Arabidopsis thaliana: one gene and its partners. The protein of the gene in region 4 interacts with the protein of the main gene of each other region in a pairwise test. Each region holds a gene or a part of one and is shown on either strand. Other genes may lie near its edges. The genes, in order: RGL1, ARF19, TPL and IAA11.

The links.
Region 1: the proteins of IAA11 (region 4) and RGL1 interact in binary tests that used the Arabidopsis thaliana proteins (3 or more experiments, as listed by UniProt).
Region 2: the proteins of IAA11 (region 4) and ARF19 interact in binary tests that used the Arabidopsis thaliana proteins (3 or more experiments, as listed by UniProt).
Region 3: the proteins of IAA11 (region 4) and TPL interact in a two-hybrid assay, tested with the Arabidopsis thaliana proteins (3 studies listed by BioGRID).

What each region holds. Positions count from the first base shown.
Region 1 is NC_003070.9:24,745,212-24,751,828, forward strand, and holds RGL1 (RGA-like 1), read left to right. Parts: upstream 1-2,893; 5' UTR 2,894-3,115; coding exon 3,116-4,651; 3' UTR 4,652-4,975; downstream 4,976-6,617. Other genes in the region: AT1G66360 (Calcium-dependent lipid-binding (CaLB domain) family protein), read left to right, coding at 6,220-6,330. UniProt on the Arabidopsis thaliana protein: Probable transcriptional regulator that acts as a repressor of the gibberellin (GA) signaling pathway. No effect of the BOI proteins on its stability.
Region 2 is NC_003070.9:6,626,581-6,636,511, reverse strand, and holds ARF19 (auxin response factor 19), read left to right. Parts: upstream 1-3,378; 5' UTR 3,379-3,732; coding exon 3,733-3,775; intron 3,776-4,071; coding exon 4,072-4,184; intron 4,185-4,263; coding exon 4,264-4,359; intron 4,360-4,436; coding exon 4,437-4,493; intron 4,494-4,577; coding exon 4,578-4,733; intron 4,734-4,824; coding exon 4,825-4,909; intron 4,910-4,996; coding exon 4,997-5,087; intron 5,088-5,163; coding exon 5,164-5,524; intron 5,525-5,601; coding exon 5,602-5,740; intron 5,741-5,822; coding exon 5,823-7,567; intron 7,568-7,658; coding exon 7,659-7,849; intron 7,850-7,933; coding exon 7,934-8,117; 3' UTR 8,118-8,829; downstream 8,830-9,931. Other genes in the region: AT1G19210 (Integrase-type DNA-binding superfamily protein), read left to right, coding at 8,982-9,539. UniProt on the Arabidopsis thaliana protein: Auxin response factors (ARFs) are transcriptional factors that bind specifically to the DNA sequence 5'-TGTCTC-3' found in the auxin-responsive promoter elements (AuxREs). Could act as transcriptional activator or repressor.
Region 3 is NC_003070.9:5,414,213-5,424,143, reverse strand, and holds TPL (Transducin family protein / WD-40 repeat family protein), read left to right. Parts: upstream 1-3,110; 5' UTR 3,111-3,307; exon of another isoform or gene 3,308-3,570; 5' UTR 3,571-3,605; exon of another isoform or gene 3,606-3,712; 5' UTR 3,713-3,784; coding exon 3,785-3,864; intron 3,865-3,964; coding exon 3,965-4,144; intron 4,145-4,248; coding exon 4,249-4,362; intron 4,363-4,473; coding exon 4,474-4,632; intron 4,633-4,729; coding exon 4,730-4,907; intron 4,908-4,978; coding exon 4,979-5,102; intron 5,103-5,201; coding exon 5,202-5,483; intron 5,484-5,575; coding exon 5,576-5,685; intron 5,686-5,766; coding exon 5,767-5,836; intron 5,837-5,911; coding exon 5,912-5,985; intron 5,986-6,067; coding exon 6,068-6,259; intron 6,260-6,342; coding exon 6,343-6,705; intron 6,706-6,796; coding exon 6,797-6,937; intron 6,938-7,017; coding exon 7,018-7,113; intron 7,114-7,189; coding exon 7,190-7,336; intron 7,337-7,427; coding exon 7,428-7,538; intron 7,539-7,611; coding exon 7,612-7,791; intron 7,792-7,872; and 11 more. Other genes in the region: AT1G15740 (Leucine-rich repeat family protein), read right to left, coding at 9,600-9,784, 9,862-9,931. UniProt on the Arabidopsis thaliana protein: Transcriptional corepressor. May repress the expression of root-promoting genes in the top half of the embryo to allow proper differentiation of the shoot pole during the transition stage of embryogenesis. Regulates the expression of PLT1 and PLT2.
Region 4 is NC_003075.7:14,139,283-14,145,510, forward strand, and holds IAA11 (indole-3-acetic acid inducible 11), read left to right. Parts: upstream 1-2,852; 5' UTR 2,853-3,005; coding exon 3,006-3,265; intron 3,266-3,719; coding exon 3,720-3,988; intron 3,989-4,080; coding exon 4,081-4,213; intron 4,214-4,304; coding exon 4,305-4,366; coding exon of another isoform or gene 4,367-4,395; exon of another isoform or gene 4,396-4,456; coding exon of another isoform or gene 4,457-4,461; coding exon 4,462-4,646; 3' UTR 4,647-4,687; downstream 4,688-6,228. Other genes in the region: ABCB23 (ABC transporter of the mitochondrion 1), read right to left, coding at 54-1,613; AT4G28650 (Leucine-rich repeat transmembrane protein kinase family protein), read right to left, coding at 4,873-5,288, 5,369-6,228. UniProt on the Arabidopsis thaliana protein: Aux/IAA proteins are short-lived transcriptional factors that function as repressors of early auxin response genes at low auxin concentrations.

The DNA of each region.
Region 1 (6,617 bases), on a different chromosome or scaffold from region 4:
ATCCAAGACATATTGCAGAGATTTTGAAATTCATACAAACATATTCTTAAAAGCAATATCGGAAAACAAATCTAAAGCTTAAAGAATTGACTTTAACTCCATAATTGAATAACACCACCTAAGACATTAGTAAATTGTAAGTGAATAAAAGAAAGCAACAAAAATAGTTAACAATTGGTAGATAAGAATTACATGCAGTGTAAGAAAATTTCACAAGGACTCAAATCACAATTATCAAATTTTGTAAATAGATAAGAATTTTCAAAATATCAAGTTGTCTAGCTAAATACTTAAGATTGTAAACTGCAATTCAAATTCAAGAAATTAAAATGGACATATATAGGGAAGTTATGGGCATGTATGTGATCTCGTACATCCCTTAGAGCGAGGTCTAAACCATCATTTGGAAAGCTCACCCCTTCCAACACAAATCGAACACATGACTTCTAAAATCTCTACGTTTTCGGTGATCAAAGGGATTTACCACTAGAAGTGCCAAGTTGACGGTTCTTGGGAATGTAAACTCTACTTCTAGGTTATGTTGGATATGCTTTCAGGAGGAATCTATGACCCTATTGCTAGGATTTAAGTCCCATCGCAAAAATATTACTCTGCTCATTTTCTTGAATTTCTTATATGGGCTATGAAGACCATTCTATCAAGTGCACTCACATGGTAGAAACTAAAGTCGGATCTCTGAGCTGATCATGATAACGCAATACCCCTTTGAGTGGCTCCACTTTAGTGGACTATTGTTTTCTCTTATTGTACTTTAGGTCCTCGTGAATTAATCTCTCGGACGAAAGTGTTTAGCATGTAGTATTTTAGCCCATTATTTGGGTAACCAATTAATGTTTATTCCCTTAATGTATTGGTGATGATAAAAAGAGCAAGTAGACTACTAAGTTCTTACCAACCAATAACCGAAGGTACCAAACGATTCGAAATTAAAAAGAACGAATAATACTGATGAAAACTGTTGAATTAAACAATGTCATAGAATATAGTCACTTAATTATGACTATTTCTCTTTCAAGGCACTAATCATCCTTGTAAATCATCATACTTTCCAACAAGTATTAGTAAACAAAACCTACTAAACTAAAATAGAACCTTAATTTTAATTATCATTGTTTAGACATTTTTACATACATGTTTTGAGGAAAAGTCTCCTAACTATCATAATGATCAAGTCTAGTCTACTATTAATAGCAAAGAAATTAAAGAAACTATCAAAAATATTTGGACCTAGACATCAACATCTAACAGTATAACCTAATCAATCAAAGTAACAATCTTGGTTCGAAATGAGGATATGCATTATGTGAAAAGGGTCATTGTAGAACTATGAAAAATGGTTATGCATATGGGGAAGCTTAAAAATGTTTTATGATTGCATGTATCTTTCTTAAAGCTCATACCGAAAGAGCTCCACATCTAATAATGGTCGTAACCACACAGTATTTTATTTATTCTCCATCTATCGCCTTTTGAACATGTCTAAAACACAAGTATATAATAAAAATGCGTATTACAACACAAAAATATATAATACTAATATCGCTAATAAGAATATAGAATGATATTATTATATATTCTTGTTGGGTTATTTTGACGACAGTTCTTAAGTCAACTTAATTATTTTTGCAAAAGACATTTTTGCACGTTAGTTGTAATTTTTTTTCGCAACTAAAAATATATGCAAATATTTTACATAAAACATCTTTTGCTTTGTTTTGTCAATCTCTTATGCTTACACTACTTGATAGTCATTTCTTTGAGGAAGAGCGCCAATCCTACAAAAAAAGTAAGAAATATTTATTGTTACAAAGGTGATTCGAATTCGAGTGATAATTTCACAACGACGCTTACAAGAATAGCTAGATTTCATGTATTTTCCGATTACCAATTTTTTTTTGTATCAACAACAACATGCATATGAGTTTGAACTTCGACGGTGTCACATCAGCTCTTGCACACTAGCACAAATCACTAAATTACGTTTTTAGTCAATTAAAAATAATAAAACATATACAAATATGACCACAATCATAATACTACAATTGAATGGCGATGATATAAATTCAATTTTTGTATTAGTAATACGGTTTGAAAATCTACATTCGAAATGTGAAACGTACAATGCCATCATTATGCAAAAAAAAAAACAACTTTCAAACATTATTCTATATGAAATGGAGGAATTGGTAAAAATAGAATTCATTACATCACCTAAAGATTAATCACCCGATAATATAAAAACAGAAAACTAAACAAGATTTCCCTGAAATTTATAGTTTAATATATTTTCTTATGAACATAATGAATTTCTTTATTTATTCTCATTTATGAAGATGATATAAAAGTTTGAACAATAATCACAACACAACACATAAAAAGTAAATCTCCTAATCACCAAAAACTATAAAAATGAAATGTATGTTTTTGTAGTTGAAAAAAGGGTGGTGGTTGGCTTTAGAAATTGGACTTTTAACCTAAATGTTTCTCTACAATACAACTTCCAAATCATAACCGTTATTTAATATTACACCTAGTCTTCATCAAATAATCAAAATCACAAAATAATCAAATATCAAAAACAAGTTGTTATAGTTTTTAATCAAAATAATTATGACATAGCATAGATTATAGAATATCTCGTTCAAATAATGATGTCAGGTTTACATCAATCAAACTGAATTTTCTCGAGAAGCATATTTTGAAAATTAAAATTTATTCGCAGAAAAAGAAGAGAAAGGAATCTACTATTATTTACTGTATATTATATAAAGAGGAAAATAAAATAGGTAAATAAATTTCCTTTTATAATTGCTTTAGATTGCGGTTGTACCACGGCTCTGCTCTTGCTTTTAAGAACTTGCCGGTACTAAATTTCATATACTCCAATTAAAAGCTAGCTCGAAACCCCAAATGTTATTTTATTTTTCTATATAATAATAATCATACATTATAAAAAAAAATCATATCATTATTTAAAAATAGAATTTTATTTTTCTTTCTTCTTCTTCAATTATTATGACACTCCCGTGTTCCTAATCTTTTCTCTTATTCTTCTCTTTCTTCTCATCTTACAAAATCTTGCAAATCAATTTTAATGAAGAGAGAGCACAACCACCGTGAATCATCCGCCGGAGAAGGTGGGAGTTCATCAATGACGACGGTGATTAAAGAAGAAGCTGCCGGAGTTGACGAGCTTTTGGTTGTTTTAGGTTACAAAGTTCGATCATCCGACATGGCTGACGTGGCACACAAGCTTGAACAGTTAGAGATGGTTCTTGGTGATGGAATCTCGAATCTTTCTGATGAAACTGTTCATTACAATCCTTCTGATCTCTCTGGTTGGGTCGAAAGCATGCTCTCGGATCTTGACCCGACCCGGATTCAAGAAAAGCCTGACTCAGAGTACGATCTTAGAGCTATTCCTGGCTCTGCAGTGTATCCACGTGACGAGCACGTGACTCGTCGGAGCAAGAGGACGAGAATTGAATCGGAGTTATCCTCTACGCGCTCTGTGGTGGTTTTGGATTCTCAAGAAACTGGAGTGCGTTTAGTCCACGCGCTATTAGCTTGTGCTGAAGCTGTTCAACAGAACAATTTGAAGTTAGCCGACGCGCTCGTGAAGCACGTGGGGTTACTCGCGTCCTCTCAAGCTGGTGCTATGAGGAAAGTCGCGACTTACTTCGCTGAAGGGCTTGCGAGAAGGATTTACCGTATTTACCCTCGAGACGATGTCGCGTTGTCTTCGTTTTCGGACACTCTTCAGATTCATTTCTATGAGTCTTGTCCGTATCTCAAGTTTGCGCATTTTACGGCGAATCAAGCGATACTTGAGGTTTTTGCTACGGCGGAGAAGGTTCATGTTATTGATTTAGGACTTAACCATGGTTTACAATGGCCGGCTTTGATTCAAGCTCTTGCTTTACGTCCTAATGGTCCACCGGATTTTCGGTTAACCGGGATCGGTTATTCGTTAACCGATATTCAAGAAGTTGGTTGGAAACTTGGTCAGCTTGCGAGTACTATTGGTGTCAATTTCGAATTCAAGAGCATTGCTTTAAACAATTTGTCTGATCTTAAACCGGAAATGCTAGACATTAGACCCGGTTTAGAATCAGTGGCGGTTAACTCGGTCTTCGAGCTTCATCGCCTCTTAGCTCATCCCGGTTCCATCGATAAGTTTTTATCGACAATCAAATCAATCCGACCGGATATAATGACTGTGGTCGAGCAAGAAGCAAACCATAACGGTACCGTATTTCTCGATCGGTTCACGGAATCGCTACATTACTATTCGAGCTTATTCGACTCGCTCGAGGGCCCGCCAAGCCAAGACCGAGTGATGTCGGAGTTATTCCTAGGACGGCAGATACTAAACCTTGTGGCATGCGAAGGAGAAGACCGGGTAGAGAGGCATGAGACTTTAAATCAGTGGAGAAACCGGTTCGGTTTAGGAGGATTTAAACCGGTTAGTATCGGTTCGAACGCGTATAAGCAAGCAAGCATGTTGTTGGCACTTTATGCCGGGGCTGATGGGTATAATGTGGAAGAGAATGAAGGTTGTTTGTTGCTTGGATGGCAAACGCGACCGCTTATTGCAACATCTGCGTGGCGAATCAATCGTGTGGAATAAAAATAAATAATGGGAAAAGTGAAAATGTGCTATATACTTTATTGCATTGCTGATAAAGAAAAAAAGTCCCACGTTTTCCAAATTTTATGAATTCTAAATTTTGTTCACTTGTCACGAGATTTTGACCTCGCATAAATAGACTATTACGTCAGGGTCAGGCCAATGAAATGATTTTTTATCACTTGTTCTCATTAAGGTAAAAAAGGTCTTTTCTATTTCATCTTTGGTTTTCGATAAAATTAAAATTGAATAAGAGATGAAATAATGATATATATAAGGTGATAGTCTGATAGATATGGATAAATGTTTCATGACACGAACCAGTAGTCAAGTTCTTTTGAGAATAATCCTAAGACCATGGACTTTAAATAGATTGGTTAAAGGGTCATTATCTCTTTAATTAAGGAGGACAGTGGTGTGTTTAAAATGTATTTGTGCTCTTTTGACGTTGATTTAATTAGTACCCACCGCCAAATAATATATGAGCATTCCTGTTATCGCATGTTGACATCATTTTAAGAAAATGATTTTCGTAGGTAACATTTTGTTGGTAATCAATTTAACAACTACCAATTTTATTACTTTTAGAAGAAATATGCATGAGCTGACATAATTATACTGTACATAAGTTCATAAGTTTCTGTCGGTAGAGAGGTTTGTTCATCAGGAATTCGTAATGACGCAAAACATAAATTTGTCTTTAGAAACTTTATATGAATATATAAATTTGGGAAACTATTATAAATCCTCATAAATTTTAACAAATTTTCAAATACTTTTACCTTTCTAAAACTTTTATATGTTGTTTCTTATAACTTACTTACACAATTTTGTAACAATTTTCCAAGTATAACCAGAATTGTTTTGGTAATAAAACCTTCCTCAGAATATGTTCTTGGAAACGAGATTTTAATTTGATGGGCATCATCATTCTTCGACACTACAACCATTTTAAAATTTTGTTTTACTCGTTGAAAGTATTTTCTTTTCAATAATGGTGCATTCTAGGTTTGATTAAATTGTGAAGTCCAAACCCAAGCCCAATAAGGGAAGTTTGAGGCCTAACCCAACTCCTAATATAAGTTTCTCGTGTGTGTAATTCTATGATATTACCTTTTTACGATAATTTAATTAGTCATTTTAAAAATCTTTTAATGAACTAATGACGCGTCGAAGCCGCGATTAAAAGCTGCAAAAGTACATGCATGAAGTCAATGTATAACGCTTTCTATGGTATTGACCTTGGCAAGTTTAAATTTTTTAGGCTCATATTTCGGACCATTTAAGGAAAGCAATATCTAGAAATGGAATGTAATTACAAATGTTCTTAAACACGACACCAGTCATTTAGGAAAGAAACACGAGACTTTTTCTCTTTGGTTTTGACTGATTTTTGAGGTCCTTAAAATTAATACCGAAACCACTTCAGAGGTTAAGATGTCACTTCATCATTAATTGTCCTACACACCAAATTTTCTATTGATATAAAATTTTTGCATGTGAAGAAAAAGCCCAAAAATTTACTCGGATTTTAAAGCAGATTCCTTCGATCTAAAGAAAGAGAGAAAATGGAGAATATGTTAGGTCTTCTAAGACTTCATGTGATTAGAGGTGTTAATCTTGCCATCAGAGATTCTCAAAGCAGTGATCCTTATGTCATTGTCCGTATGGGAAAACAGGTAACCCCAATTTTTCATCTTTTCTTTTCCAATTTAGGCTTTACATTTTCTGAGTTCTTCTGTTCTTGTCAAACAAAATTTTCTTCTTTTCTTTTGATCGAGTTTGTCAAGTAATTGGTTAATTGCTTCTTGAGCTTTCTTTTGTGAATGGATCTTTGGTAATGATTAATGAATTTTGTTATGCTACTTCTGATGTAGTTATTGAATGAGAGAAGTATAATATGTCTTTTTATAGATTTAGATGATCTTCACACAAAAAAAAAAACTTTTTTTTTGACTTAATTGGT
Region 2 (9,931 bases), on a different chromosome or scaffold from region 4:
AAAAAAAAAAAAAAAAACCACCTGAAAATAACGAATTTGATATACTTTTCTACCAAATGTAATATTTGTAACCTATGGGATAGTTTTTCTTTTTTCTTTTTAAAGCGTTGACAATATGATCAACCATGATTAAATCGCATTAAAAAATTTAAACCATAATAACTTCGATTCAATCTACAGTATTTGACCAACATGGTTAGTTAACTTATGTTATTTGATCATACAATACAAACGATCATTTTGAGTCTCTACAGTAGCTGCCAAAGTTAAGAATTTGGTTGTTCTCTTAATCTGATCATATTATGTTTTAAATATTTTTTAGTTACCAGCCATAAGTTATATAGATAAATAATATCGTAGTAAAGATTCTAACTAATTGGGAATTTCGTTAAATTACGAGTTACAACTTTATGAATCCTCATGTACATGTGTGCTCGCCTGCTCGGTCTTAGCAAAAATTAATATGCGAAGCCAATTAAATGTACTGATGAGTCTGTTTGGGCTAGATTCATCCGTATCTGGGTTAATTATTGGATTGAGCAAATAAACAAATGTAAAACCAAGTTGTAAACACAGTAAACGTTAACCAGTTTTTTTTCTTTTTTTTTTTTTTTTTTTTTTTTTTTGCTGACTAGATCATGAATTCGGTTGTAGTATGCAAAATAGAAATGAAAAATGTGAATAATCAAGGGTAAAGTGAAATTTCTCCCCACAAGTTGTGTAACAACAACTATATCGATTAACGAGTCAAAAATTAAATTACCACATGAAAAATGTCAAAGTTAATTAGGAACTTTTTTTTCATTGAACCAATTAATTTTTGATGAAATTTATGGTTTATTAATCTGACACAACACTGTATAAAAGATTTTTTTTGTTAAAAGTTAAGAAAGAAGAATGTTGAGAGAACCATCAATGTTAAACCAATAGATGATAGTCAAGATTCATAGTATAAAAATTTACCACATTGGTTGAGAGATCAATTCCTTTCACCATAATGTCAATCATAATTAGCCGCTAGAAACGTTTTCTATGTCAAAAATACACAGCTTTTTCATATTGATTTTGGTTCAGAATTTCATGGTTTTATACCTTGTTTGATAACGTCATTAGAACATATGTACTTTTGTACTACTGAAACATTAAACTAGTGTGCAAAACAAGATTTTAAGATAGTCTAAATTCCAGTTAACAGAAAAATAAAAAATATTGTTGGTTGGGAAATAGTAGAACAAACGAGAGAGAGAGTGTGTGTGGTTACGATGAGGAGAAGAGACATAGAGGCATACACTCACTTAAAAGCAAAACCATTTTGGCTAAACCGAAAGACTCGGTCGGAGTCTAGAGCCTGTCTCTCCCGACATCCTCTGCCACACCTCACGTGCATGCTGCACCCACACTCACGTGCACATACATTTTTCTTGTGTTTTAGTTATTTTAGTAAAAACGATATATTTATTGACTCTTTCTGTAATGGTGGTAGAAATTGAGGAATTCACAAAAGTCCCAAGTTTTTGTTATATATGGTGCATGCGTATGTATTTGAGGAAACTTTTGCAGGATGCGTGGATCAAATCCAATTATAATTTAATTTTATATAGATATAAAAGTCAATAGTGGGAGGTGAAAAAAATATCAACAATGATTGAGTGTTACTACTACTAGAATGGTTAATTCGTTTTGATGAGGAGTGATTTCTAAACACATCAATTGTTGTACGTACATATACTCTCCACGCGCAGCAAATATTGACCCAAAAAGGCATAAAAAACACTAAAGCATGCCAACTTTTTATTCTTGTTGAGATTTACTTTGTCGTCCCATATCTTTTCAAATTTTGATCCTCTATAATATATGTTTAAACCTAACTTATCAAACTTTACATTCCTTTTTCTTTTGCTCACTAGGTAAGGCTCTTGAGATCGCTTCACCTCATCTCTTGTTTAACATTTATAAACATGTAGCTGTCTGGTTAATCAATTTACATGTGGTAAATTATAAATTACTCTAGAAAGAGATGTATATTAAACTGCTAAGTTCATGGCTAATCTTCGGTATTTCTTGTTTAACCGCGATAAGTTGAACATATATTAATGAGCTCTTATGGTTTTTGTTTAATGTCCATTTGGAGGTGTGATCATCTCATATGTTCTCACCAAAAGATTACCACTTGAATTCTTTTACATGTGAAATGTTTTAATTTATTAACCCTCTTCTGTTTTGATCAAAACATAAACTATATATTTGAATCTTTTATATATAATTCATATTAATTAAATAACATCATGTTTTCAATGAATGTATTGACATGATATCAATGAAGAATATTTACTTTGGAAAGAGTCAGAGTTGTTCTCGAAAGATATTTAAATGTTCCAAATTATTTCCGTTTGTCTAAACATAGAAAATCCCTAATTACATATAAATCAACAAAAAGGTAATAATTAGGTCAAAACCTCCCCCACTAAATACATGTATACTGAGATTCAGAAATACAATACTATTATAGTATATGTTAATTGAAAGCAAAATTCATAAGAAAGATCGGCGTTGAAAGGAAAAAGGCTCTACAACTACATTTTATATGCATACGTAGAGAGCTGAAAGTAAGGAACAACTCTACTCCGGTCCAGATTAATTGTAAAGAACTTTATACATTAATTAAAACAAAAACGAACACTTTATACTATTGATTAAAAAAAGAAGAAGATGAATAAAATAATTGCCTGAAAAATTAATAATTACACATGAAGGCTTAGCTTTAATTGGAGTATAATGATGTCCGTAGCTCTGTAAACATGTGAAGTTCTCCTCCTTTTGCGGCTAGTGGGTGCTCCATTGCGTATCAAAAGGAATATTATTCTAATCATAATTAAGTCATTAAATTACTAGTAGTGTTTTTTTTTTTCTCGCATTATACGGACATGTCTCAATTTGGACCAATCCATATAAATGAATAAACTTATTAGCTACTACTATATTATAACAGAAAATATGTATATAAAAGAAAAAAAGTGGGACATCTTTTCTGGTAACCAAGAGTTTACAACTTTGGATTAGAAAATATTTAAGTCCCCATTTGGCTTGCAATTTTCGGTCCGCCGAACCTAATCCTTAGGTTTTTCTCAATATATCCGGGTTTATGGTATAACCTCATTCATAAGAAAATCCGTATTACTAAAGTAAAAAATTAAAAATATGGTTATAAAAACGAGGGAAAGTTAACAGATTTTAAAACCATGGACTGTTTTTCCAACAACAGTAAATTATAATCGGAAAAGATAAAAATAAAAAGAAATAAAAAAGGTGGGACCGACAAGAAGAAGACATCAAGTGGGGTGCCACGTCAGAAGGCATAAGAAAAGATTTCATCTTTCCGCATGTATCCGATCCCAATCGGCTTAAATCTCAATATCGATTATTGTTTTTATTTTTTTGAAAAAACACTTGAGAATCTGCAGAAACACGAGAAAAAAAAGAAAAGTTTCAAAGCTTTTTAAGAGCTTAAAAATTTGCTTTGAAGCTTCAAATATTCTTATGAACTAAAAAGAAGAAAAAAGCTTTTGTTTCTTTTTCCTTAGCAGCAGAATGATTTTTGTTTCCAAAATTATTACTATTTAGTTTCTCTCGTGCTCTTCTCTTGAGCAAATACAGATTCGTTAATTTTGCTGAAGAAGAAGAACTCTGTTTCTTCCCTGCACCAAACCAATTTTTTCGTTCTTTCTATAAACCATGAAAGCTCCATCAAATGGATTTCTTCCAAGTTCCAACGAAGGTACACAAGCTTTATATTTATCTTCTTCTTTTCCAGATTTTATACTATTCAATTTCTTCATCAAGGAGTTTCTGCATTTCATGTTTGTGATTTTCTCATTGAAAAAATGAATTTTGTTATTCAATTTCAACTTTGGAGTCAGCACAAAGTCACAAATCGAGTTCTTCTATCACTTTATTTAATAAAGTGGTTGAAACATAAATGCCGCTCATAAAATTTCCAGACTTTAAATGAAACTATGCAAAAATTCTATCACTTTTAACAGATTTGAATATGTGTGTGATGATGATGAACAGGAGAGAAGAAGCCAATCAATTCTCAACTATGGCACGCTTGTGCAGGGCCTTTAGTTTCATTACCTCCTGTGGGAAGTCTTGTGGTTTACTTCCCTCAAGGACACAGCGAGCAAGTAAGTTCATTGCGTTTCAAACTATTTTGAAACCTTTGGTAGCAATCTAAGTAATATGTTCAATGAAACCTTTTTTCAGGTTGCAGCATCGATGCAGAAGCAAACAGATTTTATACCAAATTACCCAAATCTTCCTTCTAAGCTGATTTGCTTGCTTCACAGTGTTACATTACATGTAAGTCTCTTCTGACTCCAACTTGTGAATCAACAAGAAGATGAACTAATCAGGACTTTTGTGAAATTCTGAATCAGGCTGATACCGAAACAGATGAAGTCTATGCACAAATGACTCTTCAACCTGTGAATAAGGTCTGAATTATATCATTCTTCTTGTGCTATCTTGGTTTAAAGTTGAGGACTTTAATGCTGATCTTTGCTCAAAATGTGTGACAGTATGATAGAGAAGCATTGCTAGCTTCTGATATGGGCTTGAAGCTAAACAGACAACCTACTGAGTTTTTTTGCAAGACTCTTACTGCAAGTGACACAAGCACTCATGGTGGATTCTCTGTACCGCGTCGTGCAGCTGAGAAAATATTCCCTCCTCTTGTATGTCTCTCTGATCAAAGCTACTCTCAGTTTCTTTTGCTTCAAACTTTTGAATCTGTTTTGCTAAAAGTTCTAAGGGTGCTTAAAATAGGATTTCTCGATGCAACCGCCTGCGCAAGAGATTGTAGCTAAAGATTTACATGATACTACATGGACTTTCAGACATATCTATCGAGGTTTGAATCATCTAAAGTTTGTTTTATTAGTCTAAAAGATTGAAAACTTCAACCTGATTTGTTTTCTTTGATGTAATCTGATCTCAGGCCAACCAAAAAGACACTTGCTTACCACAGGTTGGAGCGTTTTTGTTAGCACAAAGAGACTATTTGCGGGTGATTCAGTTTTGTTTGTAAGGTATGAGTCATACTTTGATCAAAACATTAAGCAGAATTGGACTTTCATCTTCTCATAAGGGTACTTGGGTTTGCAGAGATGAGAAATCACAGCTGATGTTGGGTATAAGACGTGCAAATAGACAAACTCCGACTCTTTCCTCATCGGTCATATCCAGCGACAGTATGCACATTGGGATACTTGCAGCTGCAGCTCATGCTAATGCCAATAGTAGCCCTTTTACCATCTTCTTCAATCCAAGGGCAAGTCCTTCAGAGTTTGTAGTTCCTTTAGCCAAATACAACAAAGCCTTATACGCTCAAGTATCTCTAGGAATGAGATTCCGGATGATGTTTGAGACTGAGGATTGTGGGGTTCGTAGATATATGGGTACAGTCACAGGTATTAGTGATCTTGACCCTGTAAGATGGAAAGGCTCACAATGGCGTAATCTTCAGGTAATGACATATCCGAGTTATGCTAAACTGTTTATGATGGTCATTTCTTCTGAATCTTTTGTTCATGGTTTAAACAGGTAGGATGGGATGAATCAACAGCTGGAGATAGGCCAAGCCGAGTATCCATATGGGAAATCGAACCCGTCATAACTCCTTTTTACATATGTCCTCCTCCATTTTTCAGACCTAAGTACCCGAGGCAACCCGGGATGCCAGGTGAGTTTACTGCTTTCGTTCATTTTTTTCCCATAGATCTTTGACTGAGTTTCCGGATACTAACCTTGGTGGTTTGTTGCAGATGATGAGTTAGACATGGAAAATGCTTTCAAAAGAGCAATGCCTTGGATGGGAGAAGACTTTGGGATGAAGGACGCACAGAGTTCGATGTTCCCTGGTTTAAGTCTAGTTCAATGGATGAGTATGCAGCAAAACAATCCATTGTCAGGTTCTGCTACTCCTCAGCTCCCGTCCGCGCTCTCATCTTTTAACCTACCAAACAATTTTGCTTCCAACGACCCTTCCAAGCTGTTGAACTTCCAATCCCCAAACCTCTCTTCCGCAAATTCCCAATTCAACAAACCGAACACGGTTAACCATATCAGCCAACAGATGCAAGCACAACCAGCCATGGTGAAATCTCAACAACAACAACAACAACAACAACAACAACACCAACACCAACAACAACAACTGCAACAACAACAACAACTACAGATGTCACAGCAACAGGTGCAGCAACAAGGGATTTATAACAATGGTACGATTGCTGTTGCTAACCAAGTCTCTTGTCAAAGTCCAAACCAACCTACTGGATTCTCTCAGTCTCAGCTTCAGCAGCAGTCAATGCTCCCTACTGGTGCTAAAATGACACACCAGAACATAAATTCTATGGGGAATAAAGGCTTGTCTCAAATGACATCGTTTGCGCAAGAAATGCAGTTTCAGCAGCAACTGGAAATGCATAACAGTAGCCAGTTATTAAGAAACCAGCAAGAACAGTCCTCTCTCCATTCATTACAACAAAATCTGTCCCAAAATCCTCAGCAACTCCAAATGCAACAACAATCATCAAAACCAAGTCCTTCACAACAGCTTCAGTTGCAGCTACTGCAGAAGCTACAGCAGCAGCAACAGCAGCAGTCGATTCCTCCAGTAAGCTCATCCTTACAGCCACAATTATCAGCGTTGCAGCAGACACAAAGCCATCAATTGCAACAACTTCTGTCGTCTCAAAATCAACAGCCCTTGGCACATGGTAATAACAGCTTCCCAGCTTCAACTTTCATGCAGCCTCCACAGATTCAGGTGAGTCCTCAGCAGCAAGGACAGATGAGTAACAAAAATCTTGTAGCCGCTGGAAGATCACATTCTGGCCACACAGATGGAGAAGCTCCTTCTTGTTCAACCTCACCTTCCGCCAATAACACGGGACATGATAATGTTTCACCGACAAATTTCCTGAGCAGAAATCAACAGCAAGGACAAGCTGCATCTGTATCTGCATCTGATTCAGTCTTTGAGCGCGCAAGCAATCCGGTCCAAGAGCTTTATACAAAAACTGAGAGCCGGATCAGTCAAGGCATGATGAATATGAAGAGTGCTGGTGAACATTTCAGATTTAAAAGCGCGGTAACAGATCAAATCGATGTATCCACAGCGGGAACGACGTACTGTCCTGATGTTGTTGGCCCTGTACAGCAGCAACAAACTTTCCCACTACCATCATTTGGTTTTGATGGAGACTGCCAATCTCATCATCCAAGAAACAACTTAGCTTTCCCTGGTAATCTCGAAGCCGTAACTTCTGATCCACTCTATTCTCAAAAGGACTTTCAAAACTTGGTTCCCAACTATGGCAACACACCAAGAGACATTGAGACGGAGCTGTCCAGTGCTGCAATCAGTTCTCAGTCATTTGGTATTCCCAGCATTCCCTTTAAGCCCGGATGTTCAAATGAGGTTGGCGGCATCAATGATTCAGGAATCATGAATGGTGGAGGACTGTGGCCCAATCAGACTCAACGAATGCGAACATATACAAAGGTTAGAGATCTTTCTCTCCCTTTCCATAGCTCTAATCTTTTGCTTCTTAATTTTCGAATGCTAAATGCCGAAAGTTGTTAAATCATTGAAGGTTCAAAAACGAGGGTCAGTAGGTAGATCAATAGATGTTACCCGTTATAGCGGCTATGATGAACTTAGGCATGACTTAGCGAGAATGTTTGGCATCGAAGGACAGCTCGAAGATCCGCTAACCTCTGATTGGAAACTCGTCTACACCGATCACGAAAACGATATTTTACTAGTTGGTGATGATCCTTGGGAGTACGTTCCAGACCTGAAAAATCTATCTGTAACAGTCAAGATTGAACAATTCTGATAATTCTTGTCTGTTTGTTTTTTCCACAGAGAGTTTGTGAACTGCGTGCAGAACATAAAGATACTATCATCAGTAGAAGTTCAGCAAATGAGCTTAGACGGAGATCTTGCAGCTATCCCAACCACAAACCAAGCCTGCAGCGAAACAGACAGCGGAAATGCTTGGAAAGTACACTATGAAGACACTTCTGCTGCAGCTTCTTTCAACAGATAGAAATAAAAAGATGCAAATATACCAAGTCAACTTACATTATCATTCGAGGCCATCGCAAAGTACATGTTTTTTTTTGTGTGTATGTACTGCAAACAACAAACTGAGAAGAAGAAGATACTGCACGGTATATAAACATTTTTATAGGACAGTGATTTGATTTTTCATTCTAACTTGATGTTGTTGTACTTTCTTGTTTCCATATTTGTATAACAAGTATAATGCTTGACAAGTCTATGAGGAGCATATCTTATACAGAGATACTAAGATGTAATGTTAATGTAACTAAACAATTACCTTCATTAATCATGAATCTTTGGTCGTTTCTTCTTCTTCTCTTCAGTGCCTCCTAAGAATCAGGGATCATTTCAGATTCTTTTATACCAGTATCCTCTAGACGCAGCGAAATATTCAACATTTCAACGTTTGAAAACGAAAAGAGAGGAGTTAAAGAAAGAATCACGTGAAAAACAAGGACAAGGACAAGAAAACCAAACAGTCTCTGAGATTTCCCGTGTGAGTTGTGACCCACACACATTAAGACTCAAGCTTCTAGTAACATCCGCCACGTGTCCATTCCCCTGACACTTTGCGGCGTTTTAAGTACAAACGCGCTCCCTTTGACCTTTGAAGCTGACCTTCTTTCTTCTTCACGCGCCATAAAAAGTCAAAAACTCACTCTTCACTCTTTTATTTCACTCGTATAAATAAATTTCTGAAGCGCCAAATACAATTATCTCAATTCAAATCAACACTAACACTGAAGAACAGAGCTCACTGAAAAAACTTAACAGAACAAAATTAAACCGGAAAACAGAGAAATCATACCGGGTTGGTTCAATCGCGTCTTTGTTTGGTTTAATCGTGATGGAAGGGTCGTCTTCTTCGATGCAGTCAAAGTACAAAGGAGTGAGGAAGAGGAAATGGGGAAAATGGGTTTCAGAGATCAGACTTCCCAACAGCAGAGAACGTATTTGGTTGGGCTCTTACGATACTCCTGAGAAGGCGGCGCGTGCTTTCGACGCGGCTCTTTATTGTCTCCGTGGCAACAACGCAAAGTTCAATTTCCCTGATAATCCTCCGGTGATCTCCGGCGGACGTAACTTGTCGCGATCTGAGATAAGAGAAGCTGCTGCGAGGTTCGCTAATTCGGCGGAGGATGATTCAAGTGGCGGAGCAGGATACGAGATACGGCAAGAATCTGCTTCAACATCGATGGACGTTGATTCGGAGTTTTTGAGTATGCTTCCGACGGTTGGTTCGGGTAACTTCGCTTCGGAGTTTGGGTTATTCCCTGGGTTTGATGATTTCTCCGATGAATACTCCGGTGATCGTTTCAGAGAGCAGCTTTCGCCTACACAAGATTATTATCAGCTTGGAGAAGAGACTTACGCCGATGGTTCCATGTTTCTTTGGAATTTTTGAATTCCATTATTCACAATCTGAAAATTTTGACTTGGGTTTTTTATTTTTTTTTGTAGTTCTTTACCCAATTTTTTTTTGATCATTGGGATAAAGAGTTATTCATTCACTATTTTTTTCCCACGTGTTAGATTTTTCAGATGGGAAAAGGCCAAACTTAATAAAACAATTATATTTGGATCTTCTGACGTCATTTGATCATATTATCATGATATCATCCACTCCAATCGCTTTCACTAGGCCCAATTACAAATCTTATTTTAACTGTACGATTAAGCCCAACAATAATACTTCAGGCCCATTAAAATCAATAAGGGTATTGTCTTATTAAATTTCAATTACAATTTTTACTTTAAGTTGTACGATTAAGCCTAATAATAATATTTCAGGCCCAT
Region 3 (9,931 bases), on a different chromosome or scaffold from region 4:
TCAAATATAATAGTTATTACACTAAGTTTTGTACAAAAAGATTTGCAAGATCAGAACTTCACCAAAAATCGATTTGTTTTTCTTTTCTTGGAGAGTGTATGGTGCATGAGTTGCTGATCATATATTCGGTAAAATTGCGAGAAACACTTATATTTATTCTTCTTCTTTTTTAACCAGAATTTGAAGGAAATGAATATGAAGATTCTATATACATTGTTTGACCATAAAATACGCCTTTTATAACGTGTGTTCGTGTTATACTGTTAAGTCTGTTATATGTATATTTTCATCACCAACTGAGTCAAACACCTAGTATCGATATATTGCCATATGACCGGGATATGAGAAAACGAAGAAGAATTTGAACCAGAAAAAGAAAAAGAAGAAAAAACAGAGAAAAGGAAGAATAAGGAAAATGGCAAAGCAATAAAACCTTTATGTGAACGTGTAAGAGAAGGGGACACATACATTAATGGAAAGCGACATATCCCTAAAACTAATAAATAATGCCTTAATAAAAGACCACTTTCTTGACGATTAAAATAACAATTTCTAATACTAGAGTATATTTTTGGCCATACGTACTTGGCAAATTTTGTTGCTAAATGAAAATTTCAATAGTTGAGTTCAATATTAGAGTCAATGGAGAAATGAAAATAAAGAGAATCTGAAGTTGGATTTATCATTCAATTTGGGGGATTATCGCACAGTTACCGGTATAGAGTAGAGGCAGATGTGTACTAGCAGTCGTTATTAAATCGTGAATGATTAAAATAAATAACGTTTCGTTTTCATTAAATGGGGAAATAATAATCGAAAAAAAGAAAGAAAGAAGAAGAAGTTAGGGCTGAGGTTGATCAGAGCGTCACTGATCTCGTGATAGTGAGACTTTTGGACAGATACGCCGGATGGGACCCACTTGCTTTGCTTTTGGCCGGATAGCTTTTTAACTTAAAGAAAAAAATTGCAACCACCATCTATCCCTCAATGCTCAATTCTAACTCCTTTATTTATTTATTTATTGTGATGCTATAGTTTGTTTCTTCTTCTTTCCATTAAATAAGTCAGATTTTATTTTCTCTTAATTAATACAGTAAGTTTTAAATTATGTTTTAGTTATAAGATATGAATTAAACACATAGCATTATTTTCTTTAATACGAGCAAATTCTCCGAAATTTGTAAAATACATAGAATTTTTCTATCAAAAATAAAAGTAAGAGTGTAGATTTGTATTTGATGGGATTTTTATTCTAACTGTGATATCTATATGACAAAATCTCTATTATTCTAACTTTTTTCTTTTTCTTGATATCATTCTAACTTAATCATTAGACTACAATCAATTTGTTTAGAATATATTTGTGTTGCGCTCATAACGATTCTTTTCAATATATATTGTTTGATTAAAGCTTTTAACAAAGTACAGTTTGCTTTCTAAATTATTTTTAACACGTATCCAGTTTTTTAAAAATATATAAAAATATATTCTTCACACCTATCATTTTTTATAAATAAAATATTTTTAACATTTAAAGATATATAAGATATTTCTAATAGTATAATTTATTTTTAATACTTATCATGTTTCTTAAATGGTTTGAACGCTTCGTTTCATTAGTTTATCCAACCTACCTCAGTTATGATATTACACTTTAGTAAAATAAAAAAAAACTGGTTATAAACTTAAAATATTATGCTTTGCTCGTATTAAAGAATTTCAGTACTTGTATATCGTTTTTTTAATTATTATTATGATTTATGACCTCGCGATTCGTGATGGTTAGTAGTAGACTAGTCGTAGTGGACAACTACTGTAAGAAAAAAAACTAAAAATAGATAGACACACACGCTAAATTAAATAAATCGTAAATCACGATTACATATTTATGTTTGTACTTGAAAATGTTATCGCTTTACGTGTGGTGATGGTGAGACAACAGTGTTTGTGTTTGGACGGGATAGATGTCAAATTACTCAAACGTGCGACTCTAAATTACACAAACTCTCATTTATTGCCCATCCTCCATCGATATCTTCACCCCTCTAATATATTTTAAAAATGTTATTTATAACTTCAACAATACACATTCGGTTTCATTTACAATTAATCCTTGCGTTATTATTACTTCTAAGCTATAGTATCTTGTACTTCCTTCCCCTGCTATTATTTAAACGGAAAGAATCCAGCTAATTCCGATCCACCTGCTCCTAGTAGCAATCTATCTATAAACAAACAAAACTAAAGTATAAATTATCACGAACATCTTAACAATAATAGTCAATGCAAGTGGTTCTTGTGTATACAAAGAATTAATAGGAACTACTATCCACATCCTTACGTTTACATTTTTCACAACCAATCATGCACTAAATTAACCTCTAATGAAAAAGTTAAAAATAAAGAATAATATTATCAAAGAATAATGATAATGTTCAGCAACATGTTGGACCAAGAAATGTTCAAACAATACTATAATATTGAAATATTTAGTAGTATTAGTTTTGTTCTTGTTTTTTTTATATGAGGAACATCAGCCATATCGTATAAATCGTGATAAACCGAGTTTATAAATCATATTTCGTATCTCGCCGAGAAGAAAGACGACGTAGCATCTTTACGAGTTGAACATTTCTCCATCACGTGATGTTCGATGAGTTAACGCATCTCAAGAGCAATTGGCTCTTCAATGTCATATCCGTAAATATTAGTCAAACTTGAGGGCAATGACTCAATATAAAAAGCTTTGTCGTGCCACGAGGGATCTGGAGACAAGTCTGACACATTGAATGAAACTCTAGCCGTTAGATCTCCGTCCTCCGCGCCATCTGACAAAATCGACGGTTTTCCAGATAGGTGTAAAACTCATCGCGAAGGAGTGGATCACACCTCTGTGGAGTACAGCTGGCAACTAATATTCCGAGCCGATAACGTCGAGAAATGTAGCCGATCAAGTCGTAGTTATAAGCAGTTCTACTTATCATTCCTGCTTATCGCAGTTAGCTTTTCTTAGAGTGATAGCTAACTTATTTTATCAGCATCCAATTATCTGTCACCTTCTCTTATTAAAATCTCCATTTCTGCAAGTTTTAATGTCCGTATATATATCTCGAAGAGAGAGAAAATCCCTTTTTCTCTAGATAGAGAGAGAGAGAGAGAGAGAGAAGAAGAAGCTTTTTAATTTAGTTTTGCTTTCTTTCAAGTTTCCTTTTTTCGATAGAGAGAAAAAGAGTCCAAAAATCAATCCATCACCTCTTTCGTCTCTGTGGTCTTCTTCTTCTTCTTCATCGATCTCTCTCTCTTTATGGTGAGTAAGCTTCACGCTTCTTTCTTCTACCTTTGTTGCCTCTGTTAATGGAATCTAGCTGTTTCGAGTTTTATTGTATATATTTTTTTATCCTTTTGCCCAAACTTTTTTCTGGGTTTTGCTTTATTTTTTCATCCCCCTTTCTGATAATTAATTTGCTTTTTTCATGTAGTAAAAAAAGATTCTTTTTTTAAGCTATTAAATTCACATCTTCCAATTCCAGGAAGACCTAAATTTCCTCTTTTTTTTGCCGTTATCTGCAGAGATGCGAAGTTTCTGGATAATTATTCAGATATAGGTTCCAAGTTTTTAGCTTTCATTTCTAACTTCTCTTTTCGTGTTTTTTAATTTCCATAATCTGGAAACTCAGATTTGAGCTCATTTCGGCCATTGTTTATATTGCAGATCTGGTGATAGTTTGGTTAGTTGTTGTGCATCTGAGTTAGAAAAAAGTCTTTTAAGGAAGTGAGAGAAAACATGTCTTCTCTTAGTAGAGAGCTCGTTTTCTTGATCTTACAGTTTCTCGATGAAGAGAAGTTTAAAGAGACTGTTCACAAGTATGTCTCTTTTGCTCTGTAGATTTCCTTGGATCTAATTTACCAACTGACCTGTTTAGCTCTTGTGTTGGTTAATGCATTATTGCTTTGTCATGTTCAGGCTTGAACAAGAATCTGGGTTTTTCTTCAATATGAAGTATTTTGAGGATGAGGTTCACAATGGAAATTGGGATGAGGTTGAGAAGTATCTCTCTGGTTTCACTAAAGTAGATGATAATAGATACTCTATGAAGATATTCTTCGAGATAAGAAAGCAGAAGTATCTCGAGGCTTTGGATAAGTAAGTCATGGTTGGGGATTTGTTTTTTTTTTTTCCTTTCAGTGAGATAGCAAAAGAAAAAGAGTCTGATTTGTGATTGACCTTGGTGACTTTTTTGTTGGTAGGCATGATCGTCCCAAGGCTGTGGATATACTAGTGAAGGATTTGAAAGTGTTTTCAACTTTTAATGAGGAGCTTTTCAAGGAAATAACACAGCTCTTGACATTGGAGAACTTCCGGTAATGTTATATTGGATTAATGTAGTGTCCAAAGCCTTTGTTTTCTTAGCCGTAGTTCAAAAGAAAGATTGATGCAGAGTATTAAGTGTTTCGAGTTTGATCAACTTTTAGGGAGAATGAACAGTTATCCAAGTATGGGGACACCAAGTCTGCAAGAGCGATCATGTTGGTGGAACTCAAAAAGCTGATTGAGGCGAATCCTTTATTCCGTGATAAATTGCAGTTCCCTACTCTTAGAAATTCAAGGCTGAGGACTTTGATCAACCAGAGGTTTATTGCTTTGTCCCTTAATCTTTTTGTCTTATTCACTTCAAGTTGTTGTTGGCATATTAATTCATTCTATCTTTTGTTACTGCATAACTCGCAGCTTAAATTGGCAACACCAGCTTTGTAAAAATCCAAGGCCAAATCCAGATATCAAGACTCTTTTTGTGGATCACTCTTGTGGCCCTCCAAATGGCGCACGAGCTCCATCTCCTGTGAACAATCCACTGCTTGGAGGGATACCAAAGGCTGGAGGATTTCCTCCTTTAGGCGCACACGGGGTAATTTAGTTTCTATCATTTTTATTTATGTTTTCCTGAGGCCAAGTGTTTGATTGTCTCTATGTTTCCAGCCATTTCAACCAACGGCGTCACCTGTTCCAACACCTCTTGCTGGTTGGATGTCTAGTCCATCCTCTGTCCCACATCCAGCTGTCTCAGCAGGAGCCATTGCACTTGGTGGTCCATCAATCCCAGGTACTACTTGCTTATCAAATGTGTATGTTTCTTCAGACACACTTTGTGTGATCTATGCAATTTGCTTACAATGGAACTCCTTTCCTATCTTTGGTATAGCGGCGTTGAAGCACCCGAGAACTCCTCCAACTAATGCTTCTTTAGACTACCCGTCAGCAGATTCTGAACATGTCTCAAAAAGAACAAGACCAATGGGAATCTCTGACGAGGTGAATCTAGGCGTGAACATGTTACCGATGTCATTTTCAGGGCAGGCCCATGGTCATTCTCCGGCTTTCAAAGCACCTGACGACTTGCCCAAGACAGTTGCGAGAACTTTGAGTCAGGGCTCATCTCCCATGAGCATGGATTTCCATCCAATTAAACAGACCCTGCTTCTAGGTGTGTTTCTTGCTCTCTGTATGTGCTTCTGTGTAATAATAATAATAATAATCATCAGCAATTTTCTAAATTCGTTTGAATTGTTGTACCAGTTGGTACAAATGTAGGTGATATCGGGCTGTGGGAAGTTGGTTCTCGCGAAAGATTAGTACAGAAGACGTTCAAAGTCTGGGATTTGAGTAAATGTTCAATGCCCTTGCAGGTGCCTATGCATAGCAACAACAAAATGTTAACTTTTATATATGTTATGAATCTACAGTGACTGAATTAGTTGTATCTTCAGGCTGCTCTGGTGAAAGAACCTGTCGTTTCTGTCAACCGTGTGATATGGAGCCCTGACGGTTCCTTGTTTGGTAAAGAACTCGCCTTTAAATTTATATCTGCACATGAATGCAACTTTATAAGTCACCAAACGTTCTGAATTGCAGGAGTTGCTTACTCGAGACATATTGTACAACTATACTCTTATCACGGAGGTGAAGACATGAGGCAACACCTTGAGGTCTCGTACCATTCACAAGCCTCTCTCTTTAACAATCGTTTTTTCCCTTGGGGATTTTCTTGTAATATTGTGATTATTTCAGATTGATGCTCATGTTGGTGGTGTGAATGATATTTCCTTCTCGACTCCAAACAAGCAACTATGTGTAATAACTTGTGGTGATGACAAAACCATCAAGGTTTGGGACGCTGCAACAGGTGTCAAAAGGCATACTTTTGAAGGCCATGAAGCTCCTGTTTATTCCGTTTGTCCTCATTACAAGGAAAACATTCAGGTAAGCTTAGCTAACCGTTGATCTCCCTCCCTTCTATTAAATGTTTCAGTTTTTTGATGTGTTGTATTTTTCCTGTCATCAAGTTCATATTTTCAACAGCTCTTGATGGGAAAATTAAGGCTTGGTTGTATGATAATATGGGTTCCCGAGTTGACTATGATGCACCTGGTCGCTGGTGTACTACAATGGCTTATAGTGCCGATGGTACTAGGCTATTCTCTTGTGGGACGAGTAAAGATGGAGAGTCTTTCATTGTTGAGTGGAATGAAAGCGAAGGAGCTGTTAAAAGAACTTATCAAGGATTCCACAAGCGTTCTCTAGGTGTTGTGCAGTTTGATACAACTAAAAACCGTTATCTAGCTGCGGGTGATGATTTCTCCATCAAGTTCTGGGATATGGACGCTGTACAGCTTTTAACTGCCATTGATGGCGATGGAGGCCTCCAGGTACATGAACAAAAAATGCCTAACTAGAAAAGTTTTCAGATATTCTTTTGGAGTTTCTTCTTAACTTGCGCTTCTAATATATTTAAACTAGGCAAGCCCGCGTATCCGGTTCAACAAGGAAGGCTCTCTCCTGGCCGTGTCTGGCAACGAGAATGTGATCAAGATTATGGCAAACTCAGATGGTCTAAGGCTATTGCACACTTTTGAGAACATATCATCTGAATCCTCCAAGGTACTTAAAATCTAAGCTAAGCTTTAAATTACTTACACCCAATTGAAAGATTTAGTCAACACTTCATTCTACATTTGCAGCCTGCAATAAACAGCATAGCAGCGGCAGCGGCAGCTGCTGCAACAAGTGCTGGTCACGCAGATCGATCAGCCAATGTAGTTTCCATCCAAGGAATGGTAAGAAATACAATTCTTTTTTGTTCTTTCACTCACTTTATTTTATCTTTCTATTATTCATCACTTGCCTTTTTAGAATGGAGATTCGCGGAATATGGTGGATGTGAAGCCAGTGATCACAGAAGAATCAAATGATAAGTCTAAGATATGGAAGCTTACTGAAGTCAGCGAGCCTTCTCAATGCAGGTCACTGAGACTCCCTGAGAATCTGAGAGTAGCCAAGGTATATAAAATATACATTTTCTGAGCCATGTATAGGGTATATATATATAGCTGTTCTTTTTTCTGACAATAAAACCAATGACTTTTGGCAGATATCAAGATTGATTTTCACGAATTCGGGAAATGCTATTTTGGCTCTGGCATCAAACGCAATTCATCTTCTATGGAAATGGCAGCGGAATGAGCGCAACGCAACTGGAAAGGTGAAATTGAGACTCTTTCTTAGTCAAATAATGATAAGTGTCACTGATCTCTACATCTCGATTTTCCGTGTAGGCGACAGCTTCTTTACCGCCTCAGCAGTGGCAACCAGCTAGTGGGATCCTCATGACTAACGATGTTGCTGAAACCAATCCCGAGGAAGCTGTACCTTGTTTTGCTTTATCCAAGAATGATTCATATGTAATGTCAGCCTCCGGAGGAAAGATATCCTTATTTAACATGATGACGTTTAAGGTAATGGGGACACATAGATGCTGATCTTTTGATGTTCTGTGTATGCAATTTGACTGACTGTTCTTGGCTAATAATTTGCAGACAATGGCGACTTTCATGCCCCCACCACCGGCTGCTACTTTTCTTGCTTTTCATCCTCAAGACAACAATATCATCGCTATTGGGATGGATGATAGCACGATTCAGATTTATAATGTCCGTGTTGATGAGGTAATGCATCAAAACTCAAGAGAAGAATGTAGAAAAGAAGATGAAGTGTTTTGTTTGTTAATATGATGGCCATCATGTTCCTTGTTTGCTCCTGCAGGTGAAGAGTAAGCTTAAAGGTCATTCAAAGAGAATAACTGGTCTTGCCTTCTCCAACGTATTAAACGTGTTGGTTTCGTCTGGAGCAGATGCACAGGTTCCCGCCTTAGACCATTTTTTTTTTTTTTTTTGAGAATCGATGAAGAAAAGATCAATAGTCTTTGAAATGTTTTTGTTTCAGCTTTGTGTTTGGAACACAGATGGATGGGAAAAGCAGAGAAGCAAGGTTTTGCCACTTCCACAGGGAAGACCAAACAGTGCACCTTCAGATACGCGTGTTCAGTTCCATCAAGATCAAGCTCACTTCCTCGTTGTGCACGAGACGCAACTTGCTATATACGAAACTACCAAGCTCGAATGCATGAAACAGGTATTTTATATTTATAGGCCGCTCTCTCTAAGATCTGCAATTTATTGCATTTGAAAGATGATTAATGATTGCAATGTTTCAGTGGGCTGTTCGAGAATCATTAGCTCCAATCACTCATGCCACATTCTCATGCGATAGCCAATTGGTCTACGCGAGTTTTATGGATGCAACAGTTTGTGTATTTAGCTCTGCAAATCTACGGCTGCGTTGCCGGGTCAACCCTTCTGCGTATCTACCAGCTAGTCTCAGGTAAACAGAGGAATCTTGAAATTTACCCAAAAAAACAGAGGAATCTTTAAATTTCGGAAAGAACGTTTCTAAACATCAATCGGTTAGTTGTTTATATATCATAAAGCTCCTCTTGTTGACTTGTGCAGCAATTCAAACGTACATCCACTAGTGATTGCTGCACATCCGCAAGAACCAAACATGTTTGCAGTTGGTCTCTCAGACGGGGGAGTGCACATATTCGAACCGCTCGAGTCTGAAGGTAAATGGGGAGTCGCTCCACCGGCTGAGAACGGGTCGGCTAGCGGTGCACCAACTGCACCTTCCGTTGGAGCCTCTGCATCTGATCAGCCTCAGAGATGATCTGATCCGAGAGCCACCTACCTCTCTGATTCCCTTTCTTCTATTTAAAAGTCTTTTCTTTCTTATTTTTTTGGTAGAAAAATTTATGACCCAGAGATTCTTAACATTTAGATGTAACATATTTTCACAGTAATTCAGTAGTGAAGTTTGGATAAAAACAGTGACTGATGTTGTTTCTCTCTCTTTTCCTTTTCTGAGATTTTTACCTTCACATAGATTTTCTATTGTGCAAGATATTCAATTATATATTACAGTCGATATTTCGAATTTACATATATTTACAAGAGTGACAGTTTATGTTGGTTCACTTCAGTAGATAAACAAACCAAACAGATCCTGAAAGCTGACCACGTAGAAGAGCCATGGAGGACTCTTTCGTCCGGCCATAGCTTGAAAGAAGCTTTATTTACAGTTTCTTCAGCAAATAATCCGAAGAAGAGCATAGCTTTTGACGATATATCTAAGAGCAGTGTCTTAGTCTGAGACCAGAGGAGATCGATCTATTTACAGAGTTCGTGAATTTGCCTTTGAACATATTATTTTATTCAGGACGGAAGTTGACCAAGTTTGGCAGATCAGTCGCCTGAAGCTTCCTGATGTCATTAGCAGAGAGCTTGCAGGACTCCAAGGTCAGAGATCTCAAGTTCTTCAATGGCTTCAGGTGACGTAGTCCTGAGCTTGATACTCGAGAGTTTGAGACGTTCAGAGAGACCAATCCGGTCAATCCTGCGGGTTTTATGAGATTATGGTTCAGGTTTCAGGTACATATGATTTGTCTCATTGAACAAGAATTGTATATTTACCAGAAATCAACTCCAGTGTTTTGTCTGTGAGATTGGAGTTTTGTGATAGATTGAGGAGAGTGAGGGATGA
Region 4 (6,228 bases):
GACTAATAACAACAAAATGTAAGAGAACAATTCTAGTCAAAATGGCAACTTACAGTATCTTGAGGGACAACTCCAATGCAGCTTCGAAGACTCTCTAGTGTCACTTCCTTTATATCTTGACCATCAATCCTAACATTACCAGAATCTGTGTCAAAGAACCTGAAAATCATTCTAAGAATCGTCGATTTGCCGCTTCCGCTACTACCAACAATCGCTACACTTTTCCCTGCCGGTACCTCAAATGAAATCCCATCCAAAATCTTTCTCTCTGGCAGATAACTAAAATGTACATTCTCAAAACTGATGCTTCCACCTCTCAGAACAAGAGGAGGTAGCTTTGTCTCTGTATCTTTATCTCCAATATCGGATCTCTCCTCTAGCAACTGGAACAATGATTTCATATCAACAAGACCCTGAACGGTTTCACGGTAAACACCACCGAGAAAGTAAAGAGGAAGAGACAATTGAAAGAGAAGACCATTCACCATCACCAAATCACCAACTGTCATCTCTCCATTCATAATCCCTTGAGAACACAACACCATTGATGTTGACAAAGCTGTACTAAATATAAAACTCTGTCCAAAATCTAAAAACGCAAGACTCTTCTGAGTTTGCAATGCAGCATCTTCATATCTTCCGAGTAAATCATCGTACTTTCTCGCTTCGTAATCTTCGTTGTTAAAATACTTAACAGTCTCGTAGTTTACAAGAGAATCAATAGCTCTTGTGCTTGCATCATTATCAGCTTGGTTCATAGCTTTTCTAAACTTAGTTCTATACTGTGTCACAACCAATGTGAAAGCTATGTATGATCCAACGGAAAGAGAAGTGATCAAAGCAAAAACAGGTCCAAAATTGTATGCTAATATACCTGTGACCATTGATATCTCCAAGATCGTTGGAACAACATTGAAAACCATAGCAGAGAGGATCGTGTTAATCGCGCGACTTCCACGGTCAATGATTCTATTCAAAGCTCCTGTTTCTCGATTCAAATGGTAACGAAGATCAAGATCATGTAAATGCGAGAGCACTTTACGAGAAACAGATCGTATTGTGCGGAGAGATACTTTGGAGAAAACAGCAGTACGAAGCTCGTTAAAAGCTGAAGATCCAGATCGAGCAATGCCATAGCCAATGAGAACGGAAGAAGGAGTAGCGAAAGCAGCAAGTAGATAAGGATTTGAATCAGTGATTGTTGAAGATGAATATGAAGAGAGTAAATCGATAGATAATTTGAAGAGGAAAGGAACTTGAACATTCAAGAACTTAGCTCCTATGAGACACGCTAAAGCAGCGATGACTCTGAATCGGAGTTCTGGGTTGTCTTTCATCCATAGATAGCTTGAAATCGTGCGGAGGATCTTCTTAGATGATGCTGTTTTGGTTTGATCTTGATTTGGAGTTGAAGTTGAAGTTGAGAAGAAGAAGACTCGTGCGTTGACTGGAGATGGAGATGGAGATGGATCGGTGAAGAATGCATTGATAGCTGGTGATCTCTGAATTGAGCTACGTTTGATAAAACTGGAGAAACTGTGATGGTGATGATCAGAGCGAAGACGGTGATACAGAGAAGCGCGAGAGAGGAGAAACCGAGATCCCCTCATCATCGCTTCTTGTCCGAACGAATCACATACAATTTGGTCTAAATCGATTCTTTAATTCTCTGTTTTGTTCTCTCTGTACTACAGAGTAGCTTAACAAGAAGACGAGGAAGAAGATATCAACTCGGAAATAACCGGTTTTGGTTTTCTGTTTTTATTAAGATAATGAAATTAGCTATCTCGGAGATAACCGGTACTGGTTTGATTGCAACTGGGCTTGAGAGAATCAGATACGGTGGTACACACCGCAGCGAATCTCAGAGTATTCATTCTCTCACATGGACTCTTTCGAAAATTCAACTCTTCTACTATATGCAATTAATTAAAAAATTGAACGGTTTATTTGGAAAGTGAAAAGAAGCAACGGTCGGTTATGTCTTCCCTCCAGACGACAGGGTTTTTATTCGGACACCACTAAAAATGGACAGCTAAACTCCTTTATTGCCTTAAAAATTCAATTTTAATTACGTGATTAAAGATTAGATTGCCACTTGATTTTAAAATACTAATTAAACCTATATAGTGATGGTATCTAACTATCAATAGCTTTAAACCGGAACTAATCAGCACCGTCCGATTTGGAAAGATGGATGGACCAAAGGACGTGTGGGCACGAGTCCCCCCTCTCTGTACACGTGGGTCCCACTAAGCCTTCTAAGTAATCTTTTTCTAGCCGTCCGATTGAATCCCATGAAGCTGACATGTGAGCCCCCACTTCTTGAAAATATATATTTGTATGAATTTTGTTTTTATTTTATTTTCCAGCCTTTTAAAAATGTTTTTATTAATACCACGGATACTACCGTTTTGATATCAAATTTTCTTTGAAATCTATCCGATCTTATATCAGATTTTGGAGTCAAATACCAACTACAAAAATCTGAACATTAATACAATAATATACATTTTGAAAAATCATGTTGTCCATTATATTTTTTGGCATCTAATCCTATCGTTAATTGATTATAAGTTTATAAATATATTACAACGGAATTTCGCATAATTGTAAAACTTCCCTATATAAACTTACGAAAAATTGAAATAATTATACCAAAAGTCCACATATTTTATTTTAAAAACTTACATAAGTGGATATTGTTAAAAGAAGGAAAAAAAAAGAGTTTCTAGTAAATATAGTCACGGAATAATGTGAGAAATTTATTATTGGATCAAAAAAATGATAAAATTGGGCGAGAAATAAGACTAAAAGTTAGGGAAGTGAAAAAGAGACAAATCCCACCCGTCGTGTCTTCTTGTTCATCCTTTGTTTCCCTTTTTCTTTCTCACTGTTTCTGCCTTACTTAAAGTCTCAATCTTTGCTTCAAATTCAACCCATCTCTTTTTCCTCCCTTCCCTCACAATCAAAATCTTAATTCTCAGCTTCTGGTTTTGTCGAAAATGGAAGGCGGTTCCGCTAGTGGATCGGCTTCGGCTTTGTCAAACGATGAAAATCTCGTCGTTTCTTGTGAGGATTCTTCTTCTCCTATAGGGAATGAGCTTGAGCTTGGTCTTACGTTGAGCCTTGGTCGCAAAGGGTATCGAGATTGTAGGGTTTACGCTGATGATTCTTCTTCTTCTTCATCATCTTCTTCTCTGAGCAGAGCTAGCGTAATTGCTGGGATCAAGAGGACAGCTGATTCCATGGCTGCAACTAGTGGGTGAGTGAAATTCTCTTCCCTTTCCTCTTTTACATTTTGATCAATTATGGTTTATTTGGGGATTCTTAATATCATGATTATCAATAGAACTATAAATAAAGATTTGATTTTTGCTTTTTATGGTTATGGGATTGATTAGACAGAATGTCCTTGATCACAGTTATCTGAAAAGATTCGACCTTTGTTACGTATAGATGACTTTGAATGTATCTTCCTGATCATTAGATAGTTTGCTTTGGTCATTATATCTTCAAATTGAATCTTACTATCGTTTTCTAGAGATGACAGTTTTTTTCTTCTTGGATTCTAAAGTATTTATTAGCTTTGGAGAGAAAGTGATTAATCCTGTATAGTGATTCTCTTGGTATCTGATTTTACAAGGCCCTGAAGTGTTTATAACCCTTTTTATGTGTTTACTCTTATTTGAGCAATTTGAAACCTTTGAAAATGGCAGGCAAGTTGTGGGATGGCCACCAATAAGGACTTACAGAATGAACAGTATGGTTAACCAAGCTAAGGCTTCAGCCACTGAAGATCCGAACTTGGAGATAAGTCAAGCCGTAAACAAGAATAGAAGTGATTCAACAAAGATGAGAAATTCCATGTTTGTTAAGGTGACTATGGATGGCATTCCTATTGGAAGGAAAATCGATCTGAATGCTCATAAATGCTATGAATCATTGTCAAACACTCTAGAGGAAATGTTTCTGAAACCTAAATTAGGTGTGCTTTTCGAATCTCATGGCCTTTTTTTTGGTTCCTTTGAAGTTGGTTCTTGGTATGGGAAATGAAGTTATGATTCTTTCTTTAATCAGGTTCACGCACACTAGAAACCGATGGTCACATGGAAACACCGGTCAAGATACTACCAGATGGGTCTTCCGGATTAGTACTAACGTATGAAGACAAGGAAGGAGATTGGATGCTTGTTGGCGATGTTCCGTGGGGGTATGCATACATATGTTCTTATGCTTTTGATGCTTTGTCCCGTGTAAGCGTCAAATTCTGAAGTTTGAACCTGAGTTTTACTTGTGTCTAGGATGTTTATTGGTTCAGTGAGAAGGCTCCGGATAATGAAAACATCGGAGGCTACTGGTAAAGGTACATTTACTGATTCGATCAAATCCTGATATCTGTATTAAAATCATTGTTTTGTCGTTGTGACCGTGTTTGTGTGATCCTTGTTTACAGCTCAGATGATATTATGAAGCAAATAATAATCTACGAAGAACCCTTTATGTTTGAAGCAGTAATAAGACAGATCACAGATCAAAGAGAAGACAAAAACATTGTAAGAAGCTTCTTCTTCTTCTCTCCCCTTTACAGTTTCTTTTTTGGCTCTGCCATTTTTCTTTTAGTTAGTTATATGTTCTCTTTGTAAATCACACTTTAAAAATCTATAAGAAAACCCTTTCTTGCACAAAAACAAAACGGTTCAGAGCAATGCACAAAGTTAATATGATCATGTAAAACAAAGGAAACTTATTCTACATGGAAAAATTAAATCAAAAGATACATATCTCTCTCTCTTTCTCTCTTTCTTCTACATACAGAACACGAATCGAACGAATCAGTTTATCGGCCTCTTTTGATTCTTAAATCTCATACTAAAGAAGGCCATTTACAGGTGAAGTACTAAAAACCGATGAATGTTTCTCGGCCAAGCTACGACTAGTGTTCTCTTCATTACTATTACTTTTCCTCCTCGGTTTAGCCTCTCCGAGCATCGATATCACATCTCTCATCGAAGGTCTGTCTTTCGGGAGCTTTGTAGTGCAGAGAAGAGCAATCTGTAGAACTAAAAGCATCTCTTCTTGCACATATCTGCAGTTTCCTACGTTAGGATCTAATGCTTCTTCTAGTGATATGTTGTCTCTTATCTTCCTTCTCACCCACTCCACAATGTCTACTGATTCTCCAAACTCCGGTTCCAATGGTCTTCTTCCGGTTAACAGCTCCAATAGTACGACGCCGTAGCTGTATATGTCTATCTTCTCATCCACCTTCAAAGTGTATCCATACTCTGCAAATGATCAACCATATGTTGTTAGACTAAACCGGATTGTAATCAATTTAGTAATCGGTATGGTATTTAAACCTTACCGGGAGCAATGTAACCGTAAGAACCGGCGACCATTGAAACGGTTTCTTTCTTCCTCGCCATCATCCTGGCGAGGCCAAAATCGGCGATTCTGGCGTCGAGATTCGCGTCGAGCAAGATATTGTTGGATTTGATGTCTCTGTGAATCACCGGAGGATGACAATCATGGTGGAGGTAAGCGAGGCCGTGAGCTACACCTAACGCGATGTTGTAACGCGAAACCCAATCAACGAGAAGTCTCCCGGCGGCGTTTTTGCCGTGAATCGCATCACCAAGGTTTCCGTTGAGCATGAATTCATATACGATCATCATGTTTTTGTCGTTGTATAAGAACCCTAGGAGCCTCACTATGTTTCTGTGTCTCAATTTCCCGAGGAGGTTAACTTCGCCTACGAAATCTCCGGTGGTTCCATCTTCAATATCCGCGGCAGATCTCCAGAGCTTCTTCACGGCGAGAACTGTGCTTGATCGTGACATTTCTGCTTTGTACACGATTCCGGTTGCTCCCATTCCGATCATGTTTGATTCTTTGATACATGCCAAGATATCGGAAGCTGTAAACCCTAATCTATGAAACGCCATTAATCTCCAAGGCCATTCACCTTTGCTCGCCGTCTCGTCGCCGCAGAATCCGTTAGAATACCATTTCTTGTACAGAGTTCTCGTAACAATGGTGAGAATCCCTAGAGCTAGAACCGATGCTATCCCAATCAACCATCCGGCGACAATTCGTTTCCCGTGGAGGCTACTGTGACTCGATGTTGCTCTTTGGAATTTACTACACGGTGGTAGAACGCCGCCGCAGAGACCGGAGTTTCCTCTTAGATCATCTGGATTTATGGTTTTGAGAAAGCCGTTGATA